Saccharomyces cerevisiae S288C: one gene and its partners. The protein of the gene in region 1 binds, or shares a complex with, the protein of each later gene. Each region holds a gene or a part of one and is shown in the gene's direction. Other genes may lie near its edges.

Region 1 (5,616 bases):
CCCAATTCCAAGAACACCACTAACGGGTGTCGTAGCATACTTGGCAACTCCGAACTGGATATTGGGGATGTCAATTCCATTAATTGATACAGTTTCCGTCCCCCAACTACCGTCAGCAAATGTTCCGTCAGCATATGTGATGTAAAACCTACCATTTTCCAGATATTGGTAGGTGGAAGATCTATGCTCATTATAAGTACTCATAGACCTGCAATCAATTGAAGGCTTAACTTCTTCGCCATTATAAGTTGCGTTTGAATAGGATGACGTATTTGAATTTGGTAAGCAGAAGGGATTGCTAGAATCCATAACCCAAAAATCGGCAGATCCGGTATCAAACAACACTGTCAGACTTTGGGACGGTGTACCTATATCTAAGGTTGTTGCGTAATACATCTCCTCTTCGTGTTGTAAAAGGAATTCTAAGTGACCAGTGCCATCGTTTGTTAAAGCAGTAATGGTGTTAATAATCGCGAAACTCGCCAAAATAAGTTTCAAACAAAGATGATTAATTGCAGACATTATATGACCCTTCTAGACACTCTTTTTATTTTGGTATGATTTTAGGCGATACGAACCACTAGAATTAAATCACGCGAAGATCATTAAAGAATTCATCATGACAAGGCTCGACGTGCTTTCTCTTCACTTTTATACTGTTATCAAAAAACACACACATTCAATAACTATAATGTGGTGTGTTTCAGAATAGCTGGCTGTGTATACATGTTATTGTCGCTATTATGTGACACTCGCCATGTAATTTCCTTTTACGGTAATTACATGCCATGTTTCAGCATGATGTCGGAGGTAGAAAAACAGGGACAACGCATCTCTAATATAATAAATGCAACAAATGTGTACCGTACCGGAATGAGTGCAGCCTATGAATTCGGCAAGAGCCGTTATCTATAAACTAAAAATACAAACTTATTTAAGAGAGTCCAAACTTTTTAACATAGCCTGAATTTCCTTTATGACGCCTTTCCTTTTTTCCTTCAACGGCCTTCTTAAGGACTCATCCACGTTAATCAAATCGATACTGTCTAACTCAATCAGCAACTTCAAAAGCATTTCGTTGCAATAGTTACGCTCGTAGATGTCCTTTTCATCTTCCACATCAAATCTGTTTATTAGATCCTTGCTACGACCTTCCAACTCGTTGCCGTATCTCAACGACACATTGTCAATTTGTTCTTCTAGAGTCAGAGGAACCGGCGCTTTTTCAAACTGATTCTTACCTTTCTTGTTCTTTTTAGAAGCCCTCTTTTTACTGCTTTTTCCCTTGCTGCCATTGGGTCTTCTGATTGTAACCAAAAATACAACAGCAATCACGGCCAAGAGGACGTACGTCGAGGTACTTGTTTTGCTCAGCTTGCTCTTCCAATGTTCCATTGCGTTGTGCGACATTACGGAAACGTACAATTGCCCTTCTGGTGCTATTTTTTCACCAACAAACAGGATTGAAACCAGCACTACAGAGCTGATTCCATCTTTTTTTCTACTGGTTATGTCAGTTCGCGATATTTTTTTTCAATATCGACCAAATGATAGTAAAGGCAAATTGAATTAGATGAGCACAAGTCTTCCATTTAAAAACCCCTCTAGCTATGGCTCTCCTTCAAGTCCATATGCGCTCTTGAAAAAGCATGCTTGCCGATTGAATTGCAGGTAGCATAAATGGTTTTGCTTGTGTATGAAGCTTTTGACCTTATATTCGTCATCCGTTATAAGTGATTAGACTGAAGGGGCGCGAACTAAACTAATTAGATTATAATACGTTTTATAGGGATATCACTACAAACTGCGGCCTAAGAGGATGATCTTCATGGCGGAAACTTGCAGTTTTCCTGTATCATTGCCCTCGTGTTAGATTGGTGATATATTACAGTTACACTATGACGGTGGCTTATTCCCTAGAGAATCTCAAAAAGATTAGTAATTCCCTGGTGGGAGACCAGTTGGCTAAGGTAGATTACTTTTTGGCTCCAAAGTGCCAGATTTTTCAATGTTTGTTGTCCATTGAGCAAAGTGACGGTGTAGAGTTAAAAAATGCGAAATTAGATCTGCTATATACCCTTTTACATCTAGAACCGCAACAAAGGGATATAGTAGGCACATATTACTTTGATATTGTGTCCGCAATCTATAAGTCCATGAGTTTGGCAAGCAGTTTTACTAAAAATAATTCTTCGACAAACTATAAGTACATAAAGCTTCTAAATTTGTGTGCAGGAGTTTATCCAAATTGCGGATTCCCAGACTTGCAATACCTCCAGAACGGGTTCATCCAGTTAGTCAACCATAAATTTTTGAGGAGCAAATGTAAAATTGATGAGGTGGTCACGATTATTGAATTATTGAAGTTGTTTTTACTTGTGGACGAGAAAAATTGCAGCGACTTCAACAAGAGCAAGTTTATGGAGGAAGAGAGAGAAGTGACAGAAACTTCACACTACCAAGATTTTAAAATGGCAGAATCCCTTGAACACATAATAGTTAAAATATCATCGAAGTACTTGGACCAAATAAGCCTCAAGTATATAGTGAGGCTAAAAGTATCCAGGCCAGCGTCACCATCCAGCGTCAAGAACGATCCGTTTGACAATAAAGGGGTCGACTGCACCCGTGCCATACCTAAAAAAATCAATATCTCAAACATGTATGATTCTAGTTTACTCTCATTGGCACTCCTTCTATATCTAAGATATCATTATATGATACCGGGTGATAGGAAACTGCGGAATGATGCGACGTTCAAGATGTTCGTTCTGGGTCTTTTGAAGAGTAATGACGTTAACATTAGGTGCGTGGCCCTGAAGTTTTTGTTACAACCGTACTTTACAGAGGATAAGAAATGGGAAGATACGCGTACACTCGAGAAAATACTACCCTATTTAGTTAAGTCATTTAATTATGACCCGTTGCCTTGGTGGTTTGATCCATTCGATATGCTGGATTCATTGATTGTGTTGTATAATGAAATTACTCCAATGAATAATCCTGTGCTCACCACGCTAGCTCATACAAACGTTATATTTTGCATTCTATCCCGTTTTGCGCAGTGTCTTTCTCTACCACAACACAATGAAGCTACTTTGAAAACAACTACAAAATTCATTAAAATATGTGCGTCATTTGCAGCATCGGACGAAAAATACCGTCTTTTACTGTTGAATGACACATTGTTGTTGAATCATTTAGAATACGGGTTGGAATCCCACATTACTTTGATACAGGATTTTATATCTTTGAAAGATGAGATAAAGGAAACAACTACGGAAAGTCATTCTATGTGTTTACCCCCAATATATGATCACGATTTCGTGGCAGCTTGGTTACTATTGTTGAAATCATTCTCGAGAAGTGTTTCAGCGCTTAGGACGACGTTGAAGAGAAATAAAATTGCACAGCTGCTTTTACAGATACTAAGTAAAACATATACGTTGACCAAGGAATGCTATTTTGCTGGACAAGATTTTATGAAACCGGAAATTATGATTATGGGCATTACTCTGGGTAGTATTTGTAACTTCGTGGTGGAGTTCTCTAATTTACAGTCATTTATGCTGAGAAACGGTATAATCGATATAATTGAAAAGATGTTAACAGATCCATTGTTTAACTCAAAAAAAGCCTGGGACGATAATGAAGATGAAAGAAGGATTGCATTGCAAGGCATACCTGTGCATGAAGTGAAGGCAAACTCTTTATGGGTACTAAGGCATCTAATGTACAATTGCCAGAATGAAGAGAAGTTTCAGCTTTTGGCCAAAATCCCGATGAATTTAATTTTGGATTTTATTAATGATCCATGTTGGGCAGTACAAGCCCAATGTTTTCAGTTGCTCAGAAATTTGACTTGTAATTCAAGGAAAATTGTAAATATTCTTTTGGAAAAATTTAAAGATGTAGAATACAAGATCGATCCTCAAACAGGTAATAAAATTAGCATCGGCTCAACGTATCTTTTCGAATTTCTTGCAAAGAAGATGAGGCTTTTAAATCCATTAGACACTCAACAAAAGAAAGCAATGGAAGGCATCCTATATATTATCGTGAATCTAGCGGCAGTCAATGAGAATAAAAAGCAGCTAGTCATCGAACAAGACGAAATATTGAACATTATGAGTGAAATATTGGTAGAAACAACGACTGATAGTTCAAGTAATGGTAATGACAGCAATCTGAAATTGGCATGCCTCTGGGTACTCAATAACTTACTTTGGAATTCATCAGTTTCACATTATACCCAATATGCAATTGAAAATGGTCTGGAACCAGGGCATTCACCAAGTGATTCAGAAAACCCTCAATCTACGGTGACAATCGGGTATAATGAATCAGTGGCTGGTGGATATTCTAGGGGGAAATACTACGATGAGCCAGATGGCGATGATAGCAGTAGCAATGCGAATGATGATGAAGATGACGATAATGATGAGGGTGATGATGAAGGCGATGAGTTCGTTCGCACCCCGGCTGCAAAAGGTAGTACATCAAATGTACAAGTAACACGTGCCACGGTGGAAAGATGTAGAAAACTCGTGGAGGTAGGATTATACGATCTGGTTAGAAAAAATATTACAGACGAATCATTATCTGTCAGGGAAAAGGCCAGAACGTTACTATATCACATGGACCTGCTTTTGAAAGTTAAATGAATGCACAGAACTCGTAGTATTTCCTACAATTAATTTATGCTATAGTTTTTTAAATAGTATTTTCGCAGAAGAATCCATAACTGCAAGCTTACGTTTAACTAAAATTTCTGTGATAGGAAGTAGCTGGCTGAATTTATTCTCATGTCAAAGAAAAAAAAGTATGCATAGAAATATCACTTTATAAGGAACGTTTCGGATTAAATTATATAATATTTAAGAAAATTGATAAAATAATATGACAGAAGGAAGAAACCAAAATTAAAAAGATTAATCTTGGGTCTTTTGAGAACCACGTAGTAAACCGGTTCTTCTGGCAGCAATCAAACCAGCCTTTTGACCAGAAACGGCACCTCTAGAGATAGTAGAAGCCTTACCAATATGTTGATGGTTACCACCACCGTGAGGGTGATCAACTGGATTCATGGCAACACCACGGGTCTTTGGCCAAGAGTTTCTCTTCAATCTGTACTTGTGGAAAGCACGACCAGCCTTCAACAATGGTTTGTCAACTCTACCACCACCGGCAATGACACCGATGACACCTCTGGCGTCAGAAGAGATAACCTTCTTGGCACCGGATGGTAATCTGACTCTGGTTTTGTTTTCATCTGGGTTGTGACCAATGATGATAACGTAGTTACCAGAAGCTCTGGCTAGGGCACCTCTGTCACCTGGCTTTTCTTCAACGTTGGAGACAATGGTACCTTCTGGGACAGAACCCAATGGCAAGACGTTACCGACGTTCAAAGAAGCCTTTTTACCAGCGTAAATGAATTGACCAGTGTGAACACCTTCGTTAGCAATGAAGATTTCTTCACGTAATCTGTACTTGTATGGGTCACGGAAAACAACCTTGGCCAATGGAGCACCTCTACCGGAGTCGTGGACAATTTGCTTAACGATACCACGGATGTAACCATGACGTTCAGCATAGTCCAAAGTTCTCAACTTG
Region 2 (4,791 bases), on another chromosome or scaffold:
TAATCTTGGAAAATGCTAACAATTACGTAATGGAACAAAATTATATGTTTCCGTTGGATCTGGGAGCTAAAGGTTCCTGCCATGTTGGTGGCGTGGTTGCAACCAACGCTGGAGGACTAAGGTTATTGCGTTATGGCTCACTACATGGAAGCGTTTTAGGCTTAGAGGTGGTAATGCCCAATGGTCAAATTGTTAATAGCATGCATTCCATGAGAAAAGACAACACCGGTTATGATCTGAAACAGCTGTTCATTGGCTCAGAAGGTACTATCGGTATCATCACTGGTGTTTCAATCTTGACTGTTCCTAAGCCAAAAGCGTTTAATGTATCTTACTTGTCTGTTGAAAGTTTTGAAGACGTTCAAAAAGTCTTCGTCAGAGCCAGGCAAGAATTATCTGAGATTTTATCCGCTTTTGAATTTATGGATGCTAAATCTCAAGTATTGGCCAAGAGCCAATTGAAGGATGCTGCCTTCCCTTTGGAGGATGAGCATCCATTTTATATTCTTATCGAAACGTCAGGGTCAAACAAAGATCACGATGATTCCAAACTTGAAACATTTTTAGAAAACGTCATGGAAGAGGGCATAGTAACGGATGGTGTAGTGGCACAAGATGAAACCGAACTCCAAAACTTGTGGAAGTGGAGAGAAATGATTCCAGAGGCAAGTCAAGCTAATGGTGGTGTTTACAAATACGATGTTTCTTTACCACTAAAGGACCTATATTCTTTGGTTGAAGCCACTAATGCAAGACTTTCTGAAGCTGAATTAGTGGGTGATTCGCCCAAACCAGTGGTGGGCGCCATTGGATACGGTCACGTGGGTGATGGTAATCTACACTTAAATGTTGCAGTTAGAGAGTACAACAAGAACATTGAAAAGACTTTGGAACCATTTGTCTACGAGTTTGTTTCCTCAAAACATGGTTCCGTTAGTGCCGAACATGGGCTAGGTTTCCAAAAGAAAAATTACATTGGCTATTCTAAGAGCCCGGAAGAGGTCAAGATGATGAAGGATTTGAAGGTTCATTATGATCCTAATGGAATTTTAAACCCTTACAAATACATTTGAAAATAAAATGCCAAGTTTTATAGTTATCTACATATGTATATATTTATCAATATTATATTCTACAATTGTGTATATTATATGGTAAGGGTGATATTTAAGGAAGAAATCCACCCTTCTTTAAGGTTTCCACTGCACATGTTGAAATGTGTCTGAATCTTGATGAGCCCAAAGGCGTGCCACCATACCATCTGGTCACTATTACCAAGACGTTGAATATGTTTGCTCTTTCAAGTAAGGTCAATAAACGCTGTCCAGCACCAGCTTCGCCACAGTCAGCACATCCTTGCTCAATGTTCTTTGGCTGCACCGTTATGTTCCTTGACTTGTTAACATGACTATTATTACTCTTATTTGCTTTATTGCCCTTCTTTTTCTGCTCTTGTTGTAAGTGCAAATTATTTGATACCTCGGCCGTTCTCCAGGCATACATGTGCATGTGGGATGCCTTGGAGACGCTTTTGTTGTTTTGCGTTAGTTCTTGGAGTATGGAGGGTATATCCTTTTGATTTTGTAATGGGCAACATCTTGCTTGAAATTTCGATTTTCTATCAACTAAAACTTCTGATTCATTCCATATTTTCACTAGCTTACCAACATTCTTACTCATTTCTCCAAAAAATAGTAATACCAAACATCAATACCTATCTAAGAATCTGTATAATGTCTTTTCTAAAGGTTTTTTACAGCTGATGATTGATGCATGACTTATTTCCACAGTGCCGTATTTTCTCAGTTGCCGTTTTGGGTCTGCTTTTCACAATGCGAAGCTTTGTTGAAAAGAGCTCTAAGGTCAAAAACAATAGTAAGCTGATCGGTATTAAGTACTTGCCTTCCTGAAAATTGCTAACAAACATCCAAATATACCTTCCCCATAGTTGAATGGCATCTAATAGAACAAAACCAGGTTAAGATAGGTTTTACTTTGAGTTGTTAAATACACGCAGAAAGCGTCTTTCCACATAATCTGAACATTTTGTTATCGATGGCTACTGGCAGGATTCAATTTGCTGTTTCTACTCCCTGCAATACTAAGGGTAAACCGTCTGGTTATAGGTTATTTGAATTTAAAAACGATCGATTAGCACTGGTCCCATCAGAAAGAGGTTGTACAAAAGTAGATGTGAATGCAAATATACAAGCGTTTTGTTATTTAAGGCCTAATGGTAGAGACACGTCAATATCTCCAGACGCAACGCATATTTTGGACTCATGTGATTACATGGTGCTGGCTAAATCCAACGGATTCATTGAAATCATAAGCAACTATCAATACAAGATAAAAAATGGCCTGCGATTAGCGCCCTCTTATATCCTTAGATGTACTCCGGAAGATTTCGAATCCAATTTTTTTAGTGACTATATGATCGCTGGTCTTGAATATAGTCAAGGTTTATTATATTGTTGTATGTGCTCCGGTCGAATATATGTCTTTGTAATGAACCTTCCCACTGATTACATTCAGTATAAGAACATGTACAACCCCATGTTTCCAGATTGCTTTTTCAAAGTACATCACGATAATAATACAACACATTCTTCAGAAGAAGAAAAATTATTTGAAGGTAGTACGCGGTACACTGGAAGGTCATGCTCTAAGCATATCTGCTACTTCCTTTTGCCTATAGAACCATCCCATTTAAGATCGTCACCCGTGGTATCTTCGTTTTGCAATATGTATCAAGGCCTGCCCATATATAGGCCTTCGATGTATTTACATATAGAACGAGGTATTTCCACATTCCATATAAATCCATTAGACCGGTTTTGTTTCATGACAGTATCGCCACGATCACCACTATTTATAAGGAAAATAATTTTACCATTGACTTATGTTACATTTTTAAGCACCTTTATCAGCCTAAAGAACAGTATACAGGGAGATACATGCGGTGAGATACTTTCGTGGGACAACGTAGCGCAACAAAATGGATTTGGTTCTTTGTTCAGCTGGATTAGTAACAAGTTTACATTCGATACGGATATTATAAATTCAACCATTTGGGATGATATTGTAAAATATTCTGGAACAGGAATGCTGGATTCAGGAATCGTCTGGAAACAGCGTCAAGGTCACGCTAAAGATGACATATATGAGTTATTCCACACTCAAGATATGCTGGGAAGTAGTCGCCGAAATTCTTCATTCAGTACTGCTAGCAGCGAACCGAGACCGCTGAGTCGAAGAAGGAGAGAATCTTTTCAAGCCTTAACTAGAGACGCTTTTAGAGAAAGAATGGATGTACCCTGTTCAACGAAGTGGGAATTAGATTCTTTTATCCGAGGATTAAGAAGGAATACATTTATGGTAGATTTTGAAATTGTTGAAAAGATTTCTCATAGAAATGGAAATGATGGGGTGAATGAAGATGATAACACTACAGATGAAAGTGATGAAACAATGACTTCTTTTCTAACAGATAATTACAAAAAGATGGACATTGTGTGCATCGATCATTTCGTCACGTTGAGTGCATTCCGACCTCGGTACTATGATGAACCAATAATTAAAATCGATTCATTATCGAACAAAAATGGCTCTGAAAATGGAACTAATGAAGAAGAGTGGGCAGAAAGTCAAATGAAGGTGGATGGCCAAGTGATAGATGATGAGACAGCTCAATTCAAGCAGGCATTGGGAAATTTATGTTCATTCAAGAAATTATTTATGCTGGATGATTCTTTATGCTTTATATTGGACACACATGGAGTTTTGTTGATAAATAGATTTGAAATAAAAAATACCAAAAATTTGTTAAGGAATTCCAAGGATACTATTCGGATAATACCCCATGATTTCGGATTGATTAATGATACAATTGTTATAATTAATGATATAGACGTAGGCACAGACAATGTTTGCGCCCTTACGTTTCACTTGGTGGTAACATCAATGGCAGGAGAGATAACTGTTCTTAAAGGCGAATTTTTCAAAAACTGCAGGTTAGGAAGAATAAAACTGTGCGATTCACTAAAGCTAAATAGAAAAGATCGGTTTGTCGACAAACTTGCTCTAATCGATTATGACGGTTTAAATGCACAAAAAAGAAGGTTAGATTACGATGAAAAGGACCTTTATACATTCATTGTGAAAAAGGTAAAAAGAGACTAAATTGAGTTGCATAGATGTTAGCCATAATAGAAAATAGCGTATGAGGTAGCAGGAGTTATAAGACGTATTTACGTATATGTATGTATATGTTATTATTATTACCTGTGATTGCACGAAGGCCTTTTTTTTTCACAACAAGAAGATGTAAGAAATTTACATGCTATTTTGATTAATGGTCGAATTAGGTATTGTCTTTAATCTTTCATTAAGAAAATATAATGTAACCAAGAACAGCTTGTTAAAGGGCTTCCTATTTAAAGTTATCTTCTTTTCCCCAAGGTACCACTCCTATATGGTTGATAAGAATTGTAGTTTCTGTAATTGGAAGAGTTGGAAATGCTGTTATTATCAACATAAGTAGAAGGGTTATATCTGGAGCCATACATATTCTCCGATATCGACGAGACGTTTACTTTTGTATTTTGATACCGTGAATTTTTACTAATATTATTATTGAGTGACAGCGTCTCGCCCCTTATAGTTGGTTGAATGACATTAGACTTTTGATAAGGAGGAGGATGGAAGTTCGATGCTCTACGTTTATTTCTGCCACTATGAGAGTGATCGTTTTGGGAATGTCTTTTATGGGAAGGTCTCGGTAGTGGATCC
Region 3 (4,130 bases), 140 kb from region 1:
TGCGTCACCATCGCAAACGCATCCAGACTACTTCTACCAATGGATAAGGGACAGCGCGTTGACGATAAACAGTATTGTCTCTCATTCTGCGGGCCCGGCAATAGAGACGTTATTGCAGTACCTGAACGTTTCATTCCACTTGCAAAGAAGCAACAACACATTGGGCGCTGGCATTGGTTACACTAACGATACAGTGGCTTTGGGAGACCCTAAGTGGAACGTCGACAACACGGCTTTCACGGAAGATTGGGGTCGTCCTCAAAACGATGGGCCTGCTCTTCGAAGCATTGCCATCTTAAAAATCATCGACTACATCAAGCAATCTGGCACTGATCTGGGGGCCAAGTACCCATTCCAGTCCACCGCAGATATCTTTGATGATATTGTACGTTGGGACCTGAGGTTCATTATTGACCACTGGAATTCTTCCGGATTTGATCTATGGGAGGAAGTCAATGGCATGCATTTCTTTACTTTACTGGTACAACTGTCTGCAGTGGACAAGTCGCTGTCGTATTTTAACGCCTCAGAACGGTCGTCTCCCTTTGTTGAAGAATTGCGTCAGACACGCCGGGACATCTCCAAGTTTTTAGTGGACCCTGCGAATGGGTTTATCAACGGCAAGTACAATTATATTGTTGGGACACCCATGATTGCCGACACATTGAGATCCGGACTGGACATATCCACTTTATTAGCTGCGAACACCGTCCACGATGCGCCATCTGCTTCCCATCTTCCGTTCGATATCAATGACCCTGCCGTCCTGAACACGTTGCACCATTTGATGTTGCACATGCGTTCGATATACCCCATCAACGATAGCTCCAAAAATGCAACGGGTATTGCCCTGGGCCGGTATCCTGAGGACGTATATGATGGATATGGCTTTGGCGAGGGAAATCCCTGGGTCCTGGCCACGTGTACCGCTTCAACAACGCTTTATCAGCTCATTTACAGACACATCTCTGAGCAGCATGACTTGGTTGTCCCAATGAACAACGATTGTTCGAACGCATTTTGGAGCGAGCTGGTATTCTCCAACCTCACGACTTTGGGAAATGACGAAGGCTATTTGATTTTGGAGTTCAATACACCTGCCTTCAATCAAACCATACAAAAAATCTTCCAACTAGCTGATTCATTCTTGGTCAAGCTGAAAGCTCACGTGGGAACAGACGGGGAACTAAGTGAACAATTTAACAAATACACAGGGTTTATGCAGGGTGCCCAACACCTTACCTGGTCCTATACTTCATTCTGGGATGCCTATCAAATAAGACAAGAAGTTTTACAGAGTTTGTAGACAAAAAAAAAAATAAAAGGAAAGCGAGAAGTATACACAAGTGTATTTCCTAGATATTTACATCAAATATATATATATACTTATTTACAAAACTCTGATATTATAAATTGATTAGATACTATGTCGGAACGTCCAGCCCAACCACGTTTGCAGTTCTTTTCACTTTCTCATCCTGTGTCAACTTGTTGCCAGGATTGTATCTGTCGACCAGCTCCTCGTATTCTCTTTGGTTGTCCAAGAACTTGATGATGTCCAAAGCGTGTTCGAATATCTCGTCAACGTTTTGTCCCTGGGCCACCTTTTTCTCCCACTTTATATCGTTTTGTAATATGGAACGTAATGACTTAGAGTCGGCTATAAACAAATTCAAAGATCTGTCGCTTACCGGATCTAGTTTTTTCCATTTCTCTAACTGTCTGTTGATGTTCTCATGCGAGTCTCTCTGATTTTGTTTCTTAGCATATTCCAACTTTGTTATCATTGCCTTTCGTAGATTGCCCCAATTGACTATCTTGCTTGGCCTTTCATATTTCAGAATGGCTCTTATGAGTCCTCTATATGTGCGTAATGTTCTTGGTCTATCCATTTCCCTGGCACTCTCTCTTTCTCTCTCTTTTCAGCTTTTTGTTATCCACTTATCGCTGCAAATGAAACTCTAGTGCAATTTGAGATATTCACTTTTTGCAAAGGCGAAGAGAAGGGGGTGGTTAAATCTACAATTTCATACATAAAACAGAGAAAATGATTATAAATTATAGGAAAGTAGGTAAGCCATGGCAGAGAAATCAATATTTAATGAGCCTGATGTGGATTTCCATTTGAAATTAAATCAACAATTATTTCATATTCCTTATGAACTACTGTCCAAACGTATCAAGCATACTCAAGCGGTAATTAATAAGGAAACCAAATCACTACATGAACACACGGCCGCATTAAATCAAATATTTGAACATAATGACGTTGAGCACGACGAGTTGGCACTAGCAAAAATAACTGAAATGATTAGGAAAGTTGACCATATAGAAAGATTTTTAAATACGCAAATCAAGTCCTACTGTCAGATTTTGAACAGAATTAAAAAAAGGCTGGAGTTTTTCCACGAACTGAAGGACATCAAGTCACAAAATTCAGGAACATCGCACAATGGAAATAATGAGGGTACCAGGACTAAATTGATACAGTGGTATCAGAGTTATACAAACATTTTAATTGGTGATTATCTGACGAGGAATAACCCGATTAAATACAACTCGGAGACAAAGGATCATTGGAACTCTGGCGTAGTGTTTTTGAAACAGAGCCAACTGGATGATCTCATTGATTATGATGTCCTCTTGGAGGCTAATAGAATTTCGACTTCGTTACTACATGAGCGTAATCTCTTACCCCTAATTTCATGGATAAACGAGAACAAAAAGACACTGACCAAAAAGTCCTCTATATTAGAGTTTCAAGCAAGATTGCAAGAATATATTGAACTACTAAAGGTGGATAACTATACCGACGCTATAGTATGTTTTCAAAGATTCCTTTTACCATTCGTTAAGAGCAACTTCACCGATTTAAAATTAGCATCTGGACTTCTGATTTTTATCAAATACTGTAATGATCAAAAGCCAACTTCTTCTACCAGCTCTGGATTCGATACTGAAGAGATTAAGTCTCAAAGTTTACCAATGAAGAAAGATCGAATATTTCAACATTTTTTTCACAAATCTTTACCTAGAATTACCTCCAAACCTGCGGTGAATACAACAGACTATGACAAGAGTTCCTTAATAAATTTACAAAGTGGAGATTTCGAAAGATATCTGAATTTATTAGATGATCAAAGATGGTCGGTATTAAATGATTTATTCTTGAGCGACTTTTATTCCATGTATGGCATATCACAAAATGACCCTTTATTGATATACCTGTCACTAGGTATATCGTCTTTGAAGACAAGAGATTGCCTGCACCCTTCTGACGATGAAAATGGAAATCAAGAGACGGAAACTGCCACAACAGCAGAGAAAGAAGTTGAAGATTTACAACTCTTTACGCTACATTCACTAAAAAGGAAAAATTGTCCCGTTTGCAGTGAGACTTTCAAACCAATAACACAGGCATTACCATTTGCTCATCACATTCAGTCTCAATTATTTGAAAATCCAATACTATTACCAAATGGAAATGTTTACGACAGTAAAAAATTGAAGAAATTGGCCAAAACATTGAAAAAGCAAAACTTAATTTCTTTAAATCCAGGTCAAATTATGGATCCAGTTGACATGAAAATATTTTGCGAATCAGATTCTATCAAAATGTACCCAACCTGAAATAGTTTCAAGCTATATGCATTTTTTTATATAAAGATTTGTCCAACTTTCACAACTATTTTACAGATACTTACGCTATATAAGAATTAGGGAAAATGAAAGTTCTTTCATCAACATGGCGACATTCTTCCTTCTGTACTTAGTCTGAATCAGAATCTGTGTCTTTTTTGCTTTTACGGTTATGTTTTGAACTATTCGAGACATATTTACTAAAGATGTAGAACCTAGCATCACGTTCTTTCGCAGGTTTTGTAGTATCTTGTTCGCTATTCGTTCTCCGGTGATGATATCCTGGAAAATTTTCCCATTGGAATTTGCTCGATCTGCTCAGAGTTAGTCCATTTTTTTTGGCTAAAAGTTTGATTTGCCATGAATCATAGGGCTCTCCATCGAAAAGGGACAGTATGATGTTACCATAACCTTCGGCGGTCAATTTTTTAGCCTGGGGAGTATCCTCATTAAGATCATAGCCTTGCGTATAACGAAGAGTATCATTTTGA
Region 4 (5,399 bases), on another chromosome or scaffold:
CTTCAGTACTGTTGCGAATTCAATAGTGGGAGCATATCGTGTGAACGCACGCAAACGCTTTGCCATTATACCAATCCAAGAGTCTGGAACACCTACTTTTCAAGAAATTGTGAATTATACAAAAATAAAGTTAGTCCCGGTTTCGATATAGTGGCGCGTAAATATGACACGGCTGTCAAACCTGTCATCGATGACGCTACAGTAAAAGTGAACAAGGTCGCTATACAGCCTGCATTCAAGGTCATCCATTCACAATGTAAGAAATGGAACTGTGGAAAGTATTACCAATTGGTCCGCTCCCCAATGGTCAAGACTAGACGATTTTTCTTCGCAAAATACAATGCTTTTGTGAAACCTAACTTAGACAAATTCTTTACTGCGGAGTTTCGCTCTCATTTGAAGGAAAGAATTTTAAAGTATAAAAATATAGGCCATTATTACTTTACTATCACTTCAAGATGCATCAAATCCAAATACGACTTTATTGTTGGTAATACAGAGGAAAAATTAATGGGAAAGTTCAAGAATAAGGACACGCATGGCATTCATGGTTCTGTCACACGTGAGCCTTCCTCGGAGGACATGGTTTTAACCGTAAGTACTATGGAGTCTGACGAAGAGGAGCTAACTACAACAAGTACTCAAACAGTGGTTGAAACAATTACTTTGGACCAGGAAGAGGCTAGCGCTGTTGCTAATCATGCGCACGACGATGAGGCTTCCACAGACGTTGAAGGCTCCACAGACGTCAATGTCAATGAACAGGCTCTGTTGCAAGAGGATTTTGACATGTGGAGTGAGACTATATTGCAGAAAACACAAGACGTCATACAGCTATTTGAAAAGGATGTTTCCAAATACATCAATGGTAAATTGGTTGAGGAGGCCAACCATTTTAAAGCCAAGTTTCAATCTTTAGATGATAAATCTAAGAAGTTCTTCTCCAAGATTTCGCTAGCCATTAACGATATTGAATGTGTGGAAGGCATTGATAGTGAAACTGGCAAGAAAATTTTCTTCGATAAATCTGGAAGTACTGAGATTTCTCAGTACATAACGAGAGAGTTAGTTCGTGAGTACTTCAACGAGACGCGCTCGACGTTAGACGAACTGACAAATGCTATGGAGAAAGATTTGAGCGAAATCACTGATGAAATTGAAAAAAAAGTTAATGCAATTAGAGAGGAAAACGTCGAGGTATTTGAAGAATGGGGTGATATCATTGTAAATGAATGGTCCAAAAGAATGGCTTATGTGGATGTTATCAACGCTCACATGGGTGCAGATGATGACACTACGCTTGATGAAGAGAAAGCAAAGTCTTCTGTTAACTGGAAGAAGTTTTTGAAGGGCAAGAAACAGATCATAGAATCTAGAGACAAGCTGGCTCACCATTCCGCTGACTTATCCCGTGTTAACGCGTTTAGGCAAAAAGTGCAAAAGAAGATATTATCGTTCACTCAAGAGAGTGGTGAGTTTTTGTATATTCTAAGATCGAAAGCCAACCTGCAATTTCAGGAACGTGAAAGAAAGGAACGTGAAAGAAAAGAGCGTGAAAAAGCTGCAGCAGAAGAGTTCCAAAGGCAGCAGGAGCTATTACGACAACAGGAAGAAGAAGACGAAGAAGACGTATCCTACACCTCTACTTCGACCATCACCACAACCATTACCATGACATTGTGATGAAATTCATGCGCTTGCTATACACACACACACACACACACACACACACACACACAATATCTATCTATATATATATGTATGTTCTTTATTGTTTGTCTTTACCTTTATATATAAACATATATAGCCATATAAGAATATAATATTACCACTCCACTGTATTTTGTATCCTGCCTATTTTTGCTAGATTACAGGACGCGCGAGCCTTTCAGGGGAGGGAACTGATGAATCGATCAACCAAAAGAAAGAGCCAAAGGATTGGACCAGAACTGTTACTGTTATAGCAGAAATATTAGTAGTACGTTAAAGCCAAGCGTCGAATTTCAGCATAATTAAGAGGAAATGTCTGAATATATGGATGACGTAGACCGCGAATTCATTAACTGTTTGTTCCCGAGCTACTTGCTGCAACAGCCTGTGGCTTATGATTTATGGATTTTATATTTGCAACATAGAAAACTCTTTCACAAACTGAAGAACACTAACTTAATCAACGCTGATGAAAATCCCACTGGCGTTGGAATGGGCAGGACAAAGTTAACTGCTTTAACAAGGAAAGAAATCTGGTCTAAATTGATGAATTTGGGTGTTCTAGGCACAATTTCGTTTGAAGCTGTCAACGACGATTACCTGATTCAAGTCTATAAATATTTCTATCCAGACGTTAATGATTTTACTTTGAGATTTGGTGTTAAAGATTCAAATAAAAATTCAGTGCGAGTTATGAAAGCTTCCTCAGACATGAGGAAAAATGCTCAGGAACTATTAGAACCCGTTTTATCCGAACGTGAAATGGCGCTTAACTCTAATACCAGCCTGGAAAATGACAGAAATGACGATGATGATGACGATGATGATGATGACGATGATGACGATGACGATGACGACGACGACGATGAATCCGATCTGGAAAGCTTAGAAGGGGAAGTGGATACTGACACGGACGATAACAACGAAGGAGATGGCTCTGACAATCACGAGGAAGGTGGAGAAGAAGGAAGTAGAGGAGCTGATGCTGATGTGTCCAGTGCACAGCAGCGTGCCGAAAGGGTTGCGGACCCATGGATATATCAAAGATCTAGATCAGCTATTAATATAGAAACAGAATCAAGGAATTTGTGGGATACATCTGACAAGAACAGTGGTCTACAATACTACCCCCCTGATCAGTCTCCAAGTTCTTCCTTTTCTTCTCCTAGAGTATCGTCTGGTAACGACAAAAATGACAATGAGGCAACAAATGTTTTGTCCAACAGTGGTAGCAAAAAGAAAAACTCAATGATCCCTGATATTTACAAAATACTTGGGTACTTTTTACCTTCTAGATGGCAAGCTCAACCAAATAACAGCTTGCAGCTATCTCAAGATGGTATTACTCATTTACAACCTAATCCTGATTATCACTCATACATGACTTATGAAAGATCAAGCGCTTCTTCTGCCTCTACCAGAAATAGACTGAGAACCTCTTTTGAGAACTCTGGGAAAGTGGACTTTGCAGTCACTTGGGCAAATAAGTCATTGCCAGACAATAAGTTAACTATATTCTATTACGAGATTAAAGTTCTCAGTGTAACGAGTACAGAGAGTGCTGAAAATAGTAACATTGTTATCGGATACAAGTTAGTAGAGAATGAATTAATGGAAGCGACTACAAAAAAGAGTGTTTCTCGTTCAAGCGTGGCCGGTTCTAGTAGTAGCTTAGGTGGTAGTAATAACATGAGTTCCAATAGAGTACCTTCTACTTCTTTCACTATGGAAGGTACTCAAAGGCGTGATTATATTTATGAAGGGGGCGTTTCAGCCATGTCTCTTAACGTGGATGGTTCCATAAATAAGTGTCAGAAATACGGATTTGATCTTAATGTATTTGGCTATTGCGGATTTGACGGTTTGATAACTAATTCTACAGAACAATCTAAGGAATATGCTAAGCCTTTTGGTAGGGATGACGTTATTGGTTGTGGCATAAATTTTATCGATGGCTCAATTTTTTTCACGAAGAATGGTATCCATTTAGGTAACGCATTCACCGACTTGAATGATCTAGAATTCGTCCCATATGTGGCCTTACGACCTGGGAATTCTATCAAAACAAATTTTGGGTTAAATGAGGATTTTGTATTTGACATTATTGGATATCAAGATAAATGGAAGAGTTTGGCGTATGAGCATATTTGTCGTGGACGCCAAATGGACGTTTCAATTGAAGAATTCGACTCTGATGAAAGTGAGGAAGATGAAACTGAAAATGGGCCTGAAGAAAATAAATCAACAAACGTTAATGAAGATTTGATGGATATTGATCAAGAGGATGGTGCCGCTGGTAATAAGGATACAAAGAAGCTTAACGATGAGAAGGACAACAATCTGAAGTTTCTTTTGGGAGAAGATAATAGGTTTATAGATGGAAAGCTAGTTAGACCAGACGTGAACAATATTAACAACTTAAGCGTGGATGACGGTTCATTGCCTAATACATTAAACGTGATGATAAATGATTATTTGATCCACGAAGGATTGGTGGATGTTGCAAAGGGGTTTTTGAAAGATTTGCAAAAAGATGCGGTTAATGTCAATGGGCAACATTCTGAAAGTAAAGATGTTATCAGGCACAATGAAAGACAGATCATGAAAGAAGAACGTATGGTAAAGATAAGGCAAGAATTAAGATACTTGATAAACAAAGGTCAAATTAGCAAATGCATCAATTATATCGATAACGAAATTCCAGATCTGTTAAAAAATAATCTAGAATTGGTATTTGAGTTAAAACTAGCGAATTATCTGGTGATGATTAAAAAGAGTTCATCCAAAGATGATGACGAAATTGAAAATTTAATTTTGAAGGGTCAAGAATTATCTAATGAATTTATCTACGATACTAAAATTCCACAATCTTTGAGGGATAGGTTTAGTGGACAATTGAGTAATGTCTCTGCATTGTTAGCATATTCCAATCCACTTGTGGAGGCACCAAAGGAGATATCAGGATATTTGAGTGACGAATACTTACAAGAGAGATTATTTCAAGTTAGTAACAACACAATACTAACATTTTTACATAAGGATAGCGAATGCGCATTAGAGAATGTAATATCAAACACTAGAGCTATGCTTTCTACATTACTTGAGTATAACGCGTTCGGTTCAACCAACTCTTCAGATCCAAGATATTACAAAGCTATTAACTTCGACGAAGATGTGTTGAATTTATGAGCATAAAACAAGCACCTTCAAACAACAAAGCCATGTGATATCAGTCATTATCTTCCCAAAAATCGCATATTAATATGTCTTAAACCGTTTATATAATGAAATTTACTTGACACCTTTCTTTTTAATATTCTCATCCAAAATACTTCTTAAGTATAGTATATAATTTCATCGATAATTCCTTTATAGGCCAACGAAGAGCCACTAGACGTAGACACCGAAAGAATTCGAAGCAAAAACAGTGGTCAAGCCAGCAAACAAGCTGCCAATTACACTTAAAATTGTGTAGAAGAAGAGTTTCTTAATGTATGAAGATTTAGAACCGACGGCGAACAGGGCAGATGATAATACAGCTAATGTAACGATTAAACCACAAATTGCAAATTTTGGTTGAGTGTCTAAGTGGATAAATGGCTGGAAGCTCTTTGAGGAATGGAACTCTTTCTTAAGTGATTACACAAATGCCGAGAAGGCGAATTGGCTATACTTGTTAGTAATTATGA

Evidence for each region.
Region 2: the proteins of VID28 (region 1) and GID12 are in contact, whole or in part, in a cryo-EM structure (PDB 7WUG), measured with the Saccharomyces cerevisiae proteins. Residues at the interface, in NP_012247.3 of Saccharomyces cerevisiae: Gln786 (codon at 4,254), Tyr787 (codon at 4,257), Ala788 (codon at 4,260), Gly854 (codon at 4,458), Glu856 (codon at 4,464), Phe857 (codon at 4,467), Val858 (codon at 4,470), Arg859 (codon at 4,473), Thr860 (codon at 4,476), Ala863 (codon at 4,485); in NP_010105.1 of Saccharomyces cerevisiae: Arg24 (codon at 2,125), Phe26 (codon at 2,131), Arg32 (codon at 2,149), Leu33 (codon at 2,152), Leu35 (codon at 2,158), Glu640 (codon at 3,973), Ile641 (codon at 3,976), Lys658 (codon at 4,027), Leu659 (codon at 4,030), Cys660 (codon at 4,033), Asp661 (codon at 4,036), Ser662 (codon at 4,039), Leu663 (codon at 4,042), Lys664 (codon at 4,045), Leu665 (codon at 4,048), Asn666 (codon at 4,051), Arg667 (codon at 4,054), Arg670 (codon at 4,063).
Region 3: the proteins of VID28 (region 1) and FYV10 are in contact, whole or in part, in a cryo-EM structure (PDB 7NS3), measured with the Saccharomyces cerevisiae proteins. Residues at the interface, in NP_012247.3 of Saccharomyces cerevisiae: Asp70 (codon at 2,106), Ile71 (codon at 2,109), Val72 (codon at 2,112), Gly73 (codon at 2,115), Thr74 (codon at 2,118), Tyr75 (codon at 2,121), Phe77 (codon at 2,127), Asp78 (codon at 2,130), Leu445 (codon at 3,231), Asp448 (codon at 3,240), Phe449 (codon at 3,243), Ile456 (codon at 3,264), Thr459 (codon at 3,273), Thr460 (codon at 3,276), Ser463 (codon at 3,285), His464 (codon at 3,288), Leu468 (codon at 3,300), Pro469 (codon at 3,303), Pro470 (codon at 3,306), Ile471 (codon at 3,309), Tyr472 (codon at 3,312), Phe528 (codon at 3,480); in NP_012169.1 of Saccharomyces cerevisiae: Lys305 (codon at 2,992), Ile308 (codon at 3,001), Phe309 (codon at 3,004), His311 (codon at 3,010), Phe312 (codon at 3,013), Phe313 (codon at 3,016), His314 (codon at 3,019), Lys315 (codon at 3,022), Leu317 (codon at 3,028), Pro318 (codon at 3,031), Arg319 (codon at 3,034), Ile320 (codon at 3,037), Thr321 (codon at 3,040), Ser322 (codon at 3,043).
Region 4: the proteins of VID28 (region 1) and VID30 are in contact, whole or in part, in a cryo-EM structure (PDB 7NS3), measured with the Saccharomyces cerevisiae proteins. Residues at the interface, in NP_012247.3 of Saccharomyces cerevisiae: Glu197 (codon at 2,487), His198 (codon at 2,490), Val201 (codon at 2,499), Ser204 (codon at 2,508), Ser205 (codon at 2,511), Leu208 (codon at 2,520), Asp209 (codon at 2,523), Ile211 (codon at 2,529), Leu213 (codon at 2,535), Lys214 (codon at 2,538), Tyr215 (codon at 2,541), Ile216 (codon at 2,544), Val217 (codon at 2,547), Arg218 (codon at 2,550), Leu219 (codon at 2,553), Pro234 (codon at 2,598), Phe235 (codon at 2,601), Asp236 (codon at 2,604), Asn237 (codon at 2,607), Lys238 (codon at 2,610), Gly239 (codon at 2,613), Arg244 (codon at 2,628), Ala245 (codon at 2,631), Lys248 (codon at 2,640), Lys249 (codon at 2,643), Arg279 (codon at 2,733), Lys280 (codon at 2,736), Leu281 (codon at 2,739), Asp284 (codon at 2,748), Phe287 (codon at 2,757); in NP_011287.1 of Saccharomyces cerevisiae: Asn14 (codon at 2,062), Cys15 (codon at 2,065), Ser19 (codon at 2,077), Lys72 (codon at 2,236), Trp75 (codon at 2,245), Ile98 (codon at 2,314), Gln99 (codon at 2,317), Val100 (codon at 2,320), Tyr101 (codon at 2,323), Lys102 (codon at 2,326), Tyr103 (codon at 2,329), Phe104 (codon at 2,332), Tyr105 (codon at 2,335), Pro106 (codon at 2,338), Val108 (codon at 2,344), Phe111 (codon at 2,353), Thr112 (codon at 2,356), Arg114 (codon at 2,362), Phe115 (codon at 2,365), Gly116 (codon at 2,368), Val117 (codon at 2,371), Tyr529 (codon at 3,607), Ala530 (codon at 3,610), Lys531 (codon at 3,613), Asp536 (codon at 3,628), Val538 (codon at 3,634), Lys554 (codon at 3,682), Asn555 (codon at 3,685), Ile557 (codon at 3,691), Leu559 (codon at 3,697).

The regions. Positions count from the first base shown.
Region 1 is NC_001141.2:317,248-322,863, reverse strand, and holds VID28 (glucose-induced degradation complex subunit VID28), read left to right. Parts: upstream 1-1,898; coding exon 1,899-4,664; downstream 4,665-5,616. Other genes in the region: aspartyl protease BAR1, read right to left, coding at 1-522; SNL1 (Snl1p), read right to left, coding at 931-1,410; 60S ribosomal protein uL2 RPL2B, read right to left, coding at 4,932-5,616. UniProt on the Saccharomyces cerevisiae protein: Component of the GID E3 ligase complex recruiting N termini and catalyzing ubiquitination of proteins targeted for degradation.
Region 2 is NC_001136.10:140,042-144,832, forward strand, and holds GID12 (Gid12p), read left to right. Parts: upstream 1-2,055; coding exon 2,056-4,182; downstream 4,183-4,791. Other genes in the region: DLD2 (D-lactate dehydrogenase), read left to right, coding at 1-1,073; YDL177C (uncharacterized protein), read right to left, coding at 1,168-1,680; AIR2 (TRAMP complex RNA-binding subunit), read right to left, coding at 4,443-4,791. UniProt on the Saccharomyces cerevisiae protein: Regulator of the GID E3 ligase complex. Modulates both assembly of the substrate receptor GID4 into the GID E3 ligase complex and its activity toward its substrates.
Region 3 is NC_001141.2:178,348-182,477, forward strand, and holds FYV10 (glucose-induced degradation complex subunit FYV10), read left to right. Parts: upstream 1-2,079; coding exon 2,080-3,630; downstream 3,631-4,130. Other genes in the region: SGA1 (glucan 1,4-alpha-glucosidase), read left to right, coding at 1-1,306; FMC1 (Fmc1p), read right to left, coding at 1,425-1,892; BMT5 (25S rRNA (uracil2634-N3)-methyltransferase), read right to left, coding at 3,770-4,130. UniProt on the Saccharomyces cerevisiae protein: Component of the GID E3 ligase complex recruiting N termini and catalyzing ubiquitination of proteins targeted for degradation.
Region 4 is NC_001139.9:67,649-73,047, forward strand, and holds VID30 (glucose-induced degradation complex subunit VID30), read left to right. Parts: upstream 1-2,022; coding exon 2,023-4,899; downstream 4,900-5,399. Other genes in the region: SHE10 (She10p), read left to right, coding at 1-1,683; OST5 (dolichyl-diphosphooligosaccharide--protein glycotransferase subunit), read right to left, coding at 5,101-5,340.